2 linked regions of the Caenorhabditis elegans genome follow. The protein of the gene in region 2 interacts with the protein of the main gene of each other region in a pairwise test. Each region holds a gene or a part of one and is shown on either strand. Other genes may lie near its edges. The genes, in order: asd-2 and acdh-5.

Region 1 (4,920 bases), 110 kb from region 2:
TTAAAAAATAAGATGATGTAAACGGATCGAAAAATGGAACAAGTGTTCCAGTAGAAGCGTTCGAAAGGGGATGAGCACGAGTTGTTCAAAGAAAAATTAAAAAATGTTATTTTTTAAAAATCATTTGAAGAAAGACTGAATGATAATATTCAGAAAATATGAACATTCTTGAAAACGAATCCATTTTTGACGTGAAAACATTTGAAAACATAATTATTGATTTCAACGTACACAAGGGAAGATCAATAAACCACGATTATAAAATCTTGCGAAGACAATCATTTTAAACTTCTACGAGTTTTGAAGTCTTCCAACTTGCACAAAATGGGTGCAAAATCATCAAAAAAGGCGAAAATCTCGCCACCAGCGGATCGATATTATACAAAAGTCGATATTGAATCTGGTCCCGCCGTTGTTGCAAAGTCTCAAGATTTCATATTGGAAGTGCCGGTCATTCCAGAAACATGCGAAGAATCGATTCCCGATTCAAGAATCTCTCGTGATGTCTCCGAAGTCTCACGTGTGTCTTCTGGAAGTGAGGTGGATGTTACCGGAAGTGGCGTTGACGATGAACATCTTGATATACAATCCAGTGATGATAGTGTTGAGTCGATATTTGATCCATTGTTATATCTTGCCAATCAGGGAATTGATGTAACTCATTCCAATATAAGGGAACTTGTATGCTCGGAAAACTATCGAGAATTTTTGAAACAGCGTAAAACCATGCTTACACCAAAGGAACTTTTCGAACTCGAACATGGAAGAATTCCTGGGAATTATGGTAAATCAAAACCAAAAGAAGAGATTTTGAAGGAAATTGATGAACTTGAATGTAAAGCTGATGATTTATTAACTGATTTGAGTGATGATGAAAATGGATGGCCAAAGTATGATATGAATGCTCTTCTTGAAAAATATGAAAATCACAAAGACTCGGAGCCCAATTTATTGATTCCAACAAAGGAGGATTATGAAAGAGATAGTGAGTTTCAGTTTATTTCATCGCAAGTATCGTTATTTTATTTCAGAAAAAACCTGCTGTCAGCAAGTTCTGAATAGCTACGAGTTTGACATGGTAGAGTCTTCAATCAATGGTCATGGGTTGGAATTCGAATGTCTGGTAAGTGAAATTATAATTAATAAATGCACTATAACTCTTTCAGGGCCCTGACGCAACTCGAACACAAGATTTTTGGACTCAGTGCCATAAAGATCGCATCAGCTTGATTACAATGTTTGGAAAGTTTTTGGAGAAACGAGGGGCCAACTGTAAGCAATATATTCCTGACGATAAACAAGAGATTCTCAAATGTGGACAGATAATTGTACGACGATTGACAGATCCAGAATATCCATATCGACATTGCAAAATTCAAAAGTTTGCAGTAAGATGCAAACTAGTGTAAGTTAATGTGTTCAGATTACTAATACTGATTTGATTTTAACTTTTAGACCAGAAAATTATGGTTGGTATGTTGTTTGGCACTGTCAACGAGATATTCAAGAATATCCATCAAAAGATTATACAAAAGAAGATGAAGAGTTTGAGAATCTTCGAAAAGATCTTTTGAATGATATGGTAAGCTTTTATCAAAAAATAAATAATAAATCTTATATTTTTAAAGCCAACTCAACACTGGCTTTTTCATGGTCCAATGCAGTTCAGTCCTCTCCGGGATAGACTTGTGGAGCGTAATTCATATCTCATTGAAAAGAAAGGATCCAGTGTTCCAGATTTCGTGACACAACCTATTCAGGCGGCCAACGCTAGGTTTGATTTCGATACCGTGAAATGAAAATCGAACATTCTTTATAGAAAGGCTCTCTACGAAAAATCTTGCTATTTGGGTTTCCTGACCTCTTCATCATCTCAGATCTCACTGTCTGGATGCCAATCAAGACAAATTGGCGGAGCTGACGAAGTTGAAAATCTCGTTAAACTGGAAACCGAGGAATTTGATCTACAGAAATCGCTCGGCTCATATCCAATTCAATCTCAAAACCGTCTGAATAATGTCATTCAAATTTATGCCAACAGTCCAGATCCAGAACAGACACAAGACTTTTGGCAAATGATTCTACATAAAGGAATTCCAACAATTCACACTATATCTGATTTAGACCCGGGTAAAATTTTAAACCTCAGATTTCAAAAAAAAATTAAATTTCAGAAGAAACTGCAAACTGTGCTTCCTATTTTCCCTACGGCAGTGAAAGTGAGAAATCATGCGGAATTTATACTGTTAAACGACTCGGAATTGAGACTCAATTATCGATGAACCTGAAGAAACAGCAACTTCTGATTTTCAAGATGGGAGAGTCTGAGTATCAAAATGTTGTTAATGTAACTCATTTCCACGAAATCGTCAAGAATCAGGTTACTGATTCGAAAGTTAGAAACATCGAAATAATCAATGAGCATGTATCACGTCAGGTTTGAATGATTCATTTATTTGAATTTATAACCATATCCTTTTTAGTCAAATCCTCAACTTCTGATTCATGGTCCCTAAGAAAACAACGCAAAGAGTTAATATTGAATACGGTATTCTAGATTTTTATGGAATTTTAATAAAGTGATATGGCTTTATTATTTTTGAACTGAAAGCATTGACCTTAAAAAAGAATAAGAGGGAGAATTGAAAATGTGAACAAACTCCAAACTTGCAAGTAAATACATCGAAGTGATGGTGAAAGGAGGAGAACATAATTACATACTTTGTCGGTATTTCTCTGACGGTCTCTCCAGTGAAGTCTGCACTATTTCGTTATTGCCCGATATTAACACCCGTGGTTACCCACATTCATCGATGTTAAAAAGTAGAGGAAAGAAGAATTCAATGGGAACTGGTTCAGATTTAAGAGATTACTGTAGGATTATAAAGCTCCGAACAAAGTAGGTAAAGGGGAAGAGGACCGAAAATAAAAACAATAAAAGGTAACATTTGTAAAAGGAAATTGAAGGATGGCCTTATGAATGCACCTTATGAATGCACCAATTTTCCGGTACATTGCTTGCATGATGGAATAATAGAATTGTCCGAGACACGAGAATAAAATTGGTGAAAGGATATTGGAAGAACTTTTCTCAAGTTAATGGTTTTCTACTTATTTACAGTTAAATACAAATTTTTAAAAGAAATAACAGCTTACCTGACAGCTCCTAGCACTTGAAGAATCGATTGGGTGGCGTGAAGACAGGAATACGGCTGGAAATTAAACATTTAAAACTGGAGTCATTTTTGAATTAATAAAAATCTATAAAGATAAAGTGAGCTAAGAAGCATAAGGTGTTTTATTTGCGAATAAACAAATGAGAAGAAACCGAATCGGCTGGATGGCAAGTTACGTAACACCTAGGCAGTCGGCATACACTTTCATTTTTCAAATGTATTGCAATGAGAAGGTCATCGTTGGAATGCGGCACTAAAAGAAATAAGAGGCAAGAATATTGAAAGCATACTTTCAATGAATGAATATTTTCCAATGGCAAGGTTTTTTAAATTTCAGTATTTTTCAAATAACTGACTGAAATTGTCCACATTGACAGAAATTATTTTGAATGTGATATCACTTGTTGCTTCGATTTGAGAAGCTCAGATTGTTTGGAAAAATAAGTTCATCGATATTTATAAGCTACCTCGTGTAAAAATGAAAATCTTCTCTTACTGGGGTGAGAGTTGCACCTCAAAAATATGAATAATTCTTGGAAAAATTGACACGAAAGTATTTTGGATAGGGTATTGGAAGGGTAAAGAGTATTAAGAAAATTTATTGGAAAAATTGAAAGTTTAGAATTGCTCAATCTGAATTAAGATTATATTAGAGAAAGAAAACGAGATGTGGGTTTTCCAGAAATTCGAGGAATAACAAGAGAATTTGGCAAATCCGCGAATCGAATTAAATATTAATTAGGGTTCGCATTTTCAGATTTTCAGAAATATTTTGAGCGAAAAGATTCATGCTAAATGTATTTTCGATGTAAAACACAAGTTTTCTGGAAAAGTGCTCGTAAAAGCTGGCTTCCCTATCGTATCGGTATAAATATATGTCAACTTTACATATTTCAAATTTATTGTAAAGTTCAATAAATTTTTCCAAAAGTAATGTCTCACTGCACGGTAGAGGGAATGAAGAAAACTATGAGTCCTCTACCACCACTAAATATGAATTAATACATGCCGCGTGCAGATTTAATTATAGTCATCATCTTCATACACCCTTTCTTTTAGTATTCGAACGAGAAGCAAAGGAAGAAGGAATAAGCTTAAATGAGTGAGAAGTGGACGAAGAGAAAGAGTGAAAGACATGATGATGAGCTCAGGAAAACTTATATGACGATAGATTACGGATTAGAGAGATTTAGACGGACAGAATGACAGGCGGATCAGTTGTAACGATGCCAGGTGACCTCTTATTCTTCTTTGCCCACTTTTCCGCACCAGTTGTTGCTATTTGAGGCCATCGGGAAGCACTAAAGGACCCCGACTTTGTCTCAATTGATTGGCTCTAAATGTCGGATTTCCGTCAAGAATTTGAAAAAATGGACGCCGCAAAAAACCTTTCTAGAAAATATCATTAATTGCAAAGACTTGATGAGAAGATAATCTCTTCGGTAACTAACTATGTTCAATATGGAAAACAATCCGAATGTAATTAGAGAATAAACACTTATCCATTCGATGAGCAGCTCAATATAGAACACACGCGAATAAAAATTGGAAAATCACTGGAAAGCCATCACTGACAACATGTGTGCGCGCGTATTTTCTTCTTTTTCCATCATCCGTCTCCGTTCAATCAACACTATCTTTTCGGGGTTCCCATGATTCGTTTTATGAGGAAAAAATGAAAGCGGAAGGCAAGAAAATGGTGAAAGGAAACAGAACGATATAATTTCTAGTGACAGGTATCTGG
Region 2 (4,706 bases):
CGATTTTTCATAGCTTTTCGTTGAAAAAAAACATATGTACTCATTAAAAAACTAACATTTTAACAATTAAAAAAGAAACATACATTTTACTTAACAAGTCGTGACAAAAACTATGAAAAATCGATGGAAATTCCTCGTTAACGAAAGTTTTAAAGCTACAGTACTCCTTAAAGACGCATACCTGTTTGTACTTGACATAAATTTTCGTTTCTACACTTATGTTATATTTAGTACGCGATTAAGTATCTTGTACAATAGTTGTTCTATCATTAACGTATACAATTCAATTCTTCAAGATAAAAATTCACCAATTACAATTTGCAATTTTCACAACCAAACAGTACGCACATCTCAAAATACTTAAAAAATAAATAAAAACTGTTTCACATAAAAGTAGGCAGGCATCATAAGGCAAGGATTTAGATAGTCAGGGCATCAGGGGGAGCTTTAAGCTTCCTGTAGGTTTGAAAAGATATAAGCAGGTATGGCGTAGACGGCATGAGGTAGGCACCTAGGCAAGTATGAGGTAGACGTTAGAACGTAGGCATGCGTCAACCTTGATGGCTTTTTCACTTTAATAAGATCTCTGAAATCACTGAACACACAATAAAAAATTTTATTGCGAGAATACTACAGAAAGGAAAATAGAATAGCTACGGAATAAATCAATCCTATGCCTTCTTCAGTTGTCTACGTGACTGAGCCTTATGAATGATTCTCATCATGACCTCATCGCAACCGGCTCCGATCGAGAAAAGACGGAAATCTCGGAAAGCTCTCGAAATTCCATTTTCATTCAAATATCCTGCACCTCCCCACACCTATAAAATATCATTTAGAAATTGTGAAAAGTTTTGTATTTGTTACCTGCAAACACTGATCAGTAATAGCTCTAGCCAATCTTCCAATCTTCAATTTTGCCATTGCAGTCAACATGCTCACATCATCTCCACGGCTTCGTGCCAGAACAGTTCGATACAACAGTGCACGAGTTGCCTCGAGCTCTGCTTCCAACTCAGCCAATTGGAATTGAATGTATTGTTGATCAAGAAGAGTCTTTCCGAAAAGCAATCGATCCCTTGCATATTCAATTGTCTCATCAATACATTTTTGAAGTGGAAGAAGGCCAACAGCAACAGTTACAAGACGTTCATCATTGAATTGTTTCATTTGATATCCAAATCCACGACCTTCTTCTCCAATTATGTAAGATGAAGGGACCTGCAGGATTTTAGTTTAAAATTGAAATAAATTTCTTACTATTGCTTTTAAAAAGTGAAAATATGTGTACTGTAATCACGCAACTAGGTAAAGGTCCTGAATTGATGCAAGAATGTTCAAGCACAAATAATCAACGAAAAACTAATATTCAAAACTCGTGGTGAACTTTTTTGTTGGTATTTTGAAATTATCATTGTTGAAAACGAAATAATTGTTTTTTGTGTCTCAAAACTCACGCGAACATCTTCAAAAAATAACTGAACAGTATCCGAACTTCTCATTCCCAACTTATCCAGTGGAGTTGATCTATGAACTCCAACAGCATCCAATGGAACACAAACCAACGATTTATTCTTATGAACATTCGATGTATTTGATGTGTTCACAAGAACACACGCCCAATCCGCCTGACCACCATTTGTAATCCACATTTTCGAACCATTGATTATCAAGTCAGATCCTTGACGACGTGCGTGTGTGTGCACAGCTGATACATCGGATCCAGCATGTGGTTCAGATACAGCCAATGAACTGACAAGATCTCCAGTGATTGATGGACGAAGGAATCTTTCGCGAAGAGCATCAGAACCTAATATTCAATTATTTCTAATTTTGGTGGTAAACGGAAATACTCACCAAACTGTGCAAGTGCAGGTGTACTCATATCAGTCTGAACCATAACTGACATTGGAATTGATCCACAATTAATTGCTCCCATCTGCTCAGCAATTGCTGTTGCCATTGCAATATCCGTTCCAGTTCCACCAAATGCTAAAAATCGTTGGTAAAAATGAGAAATAACACACCGTATTAATTCTATTATTCTTGCAGTTTTTTGTATCTTTAAGGTTTTCCTCCCACCAGTACTATCTTTTTAACATTTTAGAATGATGTAGTTTTACAGGCTCTTGACATTTTTAGAACCCAAAAAGTTGGTGTTCTGATATTCTAATTGTAACCTGGAAGTTATTCTTCCAAGTTCTGAAATCTACGCTTTTGGTTTTTTGTGGTAACACTTTTTCGTTTTGAAAAGTCCAATCAAATAATAATATTGCATGGATAACTAATTAATAAAACAAGTTAGCTAAAAAAAGCGTATTACCTTCTGGTTTATTAACACCAAAAACACCATGATCTCCAAGCATTTTGAATACCAAATGTGCTGGATACCGCCCGTCTTGTTCCCATTTTGCCACATTTGGATTGATTTTTTCTTCGATAAGTTTTCCCAAACTCTTCTGCATGACAAAATGAGTTTCATCATAAATCATATGTTCCCTGGCTACTGGCTTTTCCGATTTCGGAGATGTTGATGTCACAGCAACTGAGACAGAACGTCTCTGATTACCAAGATTCGAACTTCTGAACTTGTTCAAGTTATTTGCAGCTGCTCCCAAAGCCGCATTATTTTTGAGTTTTGCTGAAAATTTGCTCAATTAGACCTCATTCTCCAAAACTAGAAAAGCTTCATCAGTCTGAGCCGCCGTGTGTGCATAGTTCCCTATTTACGCATTTTCATCAATTGATTGAATAGACATAGAGCTTTCGATATCAGAATAAATTCCACCAAAACCAGAAATTCACTCAAACTTACTTAACAAAGCTTGAAACATCACGGCAAGAAACTACGAAGATGAGTAGTGTTTTAGCCAAGAAACTAAATAATGATTCATTTTTTGATAAGAAACCCTGAACAAATTTTAACAAAAAAAGAAGATTAAACATTAATTAGAAATTCACGCAAACTTTTTTTTGATAAATTTTATGCTCTTTGGAATTTCATTTACAGTGTCTACAACTCTGCAATACACCTACAGTACCCCTACCGTACCACTTAATATAAATAAGCCAAAATCTTAAAGTAATTCTACAGTATTCCTGAGATGATAATTCATTTTAATTTATTGGAATATATTAATTTTTCATCAAATAAGTAAAAAAAAATATTGGAATGATGTCCTTAATTTTTTGCGGAGTAATTTCTGCTTTTTTTCCGAAAATTTTTCAGTGTTAAGAAATTTGGAGAAGGCATTTTGTTTCAACTCACGTAAATACTGTGCTTTTATAGTTTCTTAATTTTAAAATTTGAATGATCGTATTGTTGAAGCTAACAGAAACCCGCATACTCGTTAAAAATTGTATTTCGTATAAACAAACAGACAAAGACGAGTTGGGAGCGGGGTGGGGCAGAGGATATGTACCAGTTACAGTACCTGTTAAAAAAGTTTAGGGAGAAAGAAGCCTATTTCAAAATTTCCAGTTTTATGATACAATAAAAAAACCTAAAACATAAAATAAGCACAAAGTAAGAAGGGGAAGTGAGATGAGTAAAACAAAACATTAATAAGTTAATTGTAAAAGGGGTTTAAACACATTACAAAAACATCAAAATTCGGTAAAATAAAACGGAAATGCATCTTTCGATTTTCGGAATTTGAATATTTTTGTAATATGGGATCACTTGTTAAGTGAAGTTTTTGATATTTTCCGGGGTGCAATCATATTGAAATGGCACAGACTAGGTGAAAGAGAGAAAGAGATTGAAGGAAAGAATTAACGGGGACAACCTGTGTGCATGATTATTTGAAGTAAGTAATCTACAGAAATTTCGATGATAAAAGAATCCTATTGCGGGTTATTTTAGAAAAGTCGTTGCGGATGAAGACGGCGAGCTTTTAAATGCTGAATCCTCTCTCGTTCGCTTTTCTGGAAAAATAAAAATTATGAAAACAACCTCTAATTCATGAATTTTATATATCCACCTACCACAATAGGTTCCATTGAACTCCTTTTAACGTATACTTGAATATTGTGTGAATCATCCGATTTTATTGATTCATGTTTTGGAATAACATCGTCAAGAAGTTGTCGTTGTTTGGCGAACGCCCGGCACACCGGTTCAACATATTCAATAACTTTTTCAAGTTGAGCCTGCATAAATCCGGTAGCCTTCTCAACAGCACAAGTTGGCTCATAGTTGACAAAAAGAACAGCAGCAGCGATGGTACGATAGGAGAAAGTAAATGAGTCGATCTCAAATAGCAGAAAATCGAGAATTTTACACATTTCAAGATATTCTGAACGGAGTAATTCTGGCACGTACATGTTTTGCTCTTCGTAGTGATCAGACTTGTTCTTCTGAAAAAATATTTTAATCAACAAAAAATTTAAAATCCTACTTTGCCGGTTCCGAGTAATTGAAGATATGTTGAGAGCCATTGAATACTTGTGATTGGCCCAAGACTCCACCCAATATACTTGACGATAAGAACTTCCATAGTTCGAATATTATCACAGGTGAATGCACTATCGGTGAGATGAGCAAAATCGATGCACTTAGGTGGATAAATTTCCTGAAAAAAAAAACAAAAATTAATGTGAATCTATACTGTGAAAAAATTAATTGAACCCAAATTCTAGATCGGTGAAATATTTTATTAAAATTATTACCAGGCTTGCCGGTTTTTTTGGATTTTTGAAAAAGG

What was found.
Region 1: the proteins of acdh-5 (region 2) and asd-2 interact in a two-hybrid assay, tested with the Caenorhabditis elegans proteins (one large-scale study listed by BioGRID).

Annotation. Positions count from the first base shown.
Region 1 is NC_003279.8:6,888,930-6,893,849, forward strand, and holds the start of asd-2 (K Homology domain-containing protein), read right to left. Parts: upstream 3,215-4,920; 5' UTR 3,157-3,214; intron 2,594-3,156; exon of another isoform or gene 2,517-2,593; coding exon of another isoform or gene 2,484-2,516; intron 2,438-2,483; coding exon of another isoform or gene 2,175-2,437; intron 2,131-2,174; coding exon of another isoform or gene 1,820-2,130; intron 1,775-1,819; coding exon of another isoform or gene 1,629-1,774; intron 1,583-1,628; coding exon of another isoform or gene 1,456-1,582; intron 1,406-1,455; coding exon of another isoform or gene 1,167-1,405; intron 1,124-1,166; coding exon of another isoform or gene 1,032-1,123; intron 986-1,031; coding exon of another isoform or gene 325-985; exon of another isoform or gene 273-324; intron 1-272. Other genes in the region: C48B6.4 (Tyrosine-protein phosphatase domain-containing protein), read left to right, coding at 325-985, 1,032-1,123, 1,167-1,405, 1,456-1,582, 1,629-1,774, 1,820-2,130, 2,175-2,437, 2,484-2,516. UniProt on the Caenorhabditis elegans protein: RNA-binding protein that binds to the 5'-NACUAAY-N(1,20)-UAAY-3' consensus sequence in pre-mRNA introns to promote alternative splicing.
Region 2 is NC_003279.8:6,783,036-6,787,741, reverse strand, and holds acdh-5 (medium-chain acyl-CoA dehydrogenase), read right to left. Parts: upstream 2,875-4,706; 5' UTR 2,835-2,874; coding exon 2,816-2,834; intron 2,642-2,815; coding exon 2,324-2,641; intron 1,993-2,323; coding exon 1,858-1,992; intron 1,811-1,857; coding exon 1,458-1,810; intron 1,222-1,457; coding exon 868-1,221; intron 822-867; coding exon 672-821; 3' UTR 603-671; downstream 1-602. Other genes in the region: cye-1 (G1/S-specific cyclin-E), read right to left, coding at 3,862-3,927, 3,988-4,359, 4,401-4,574.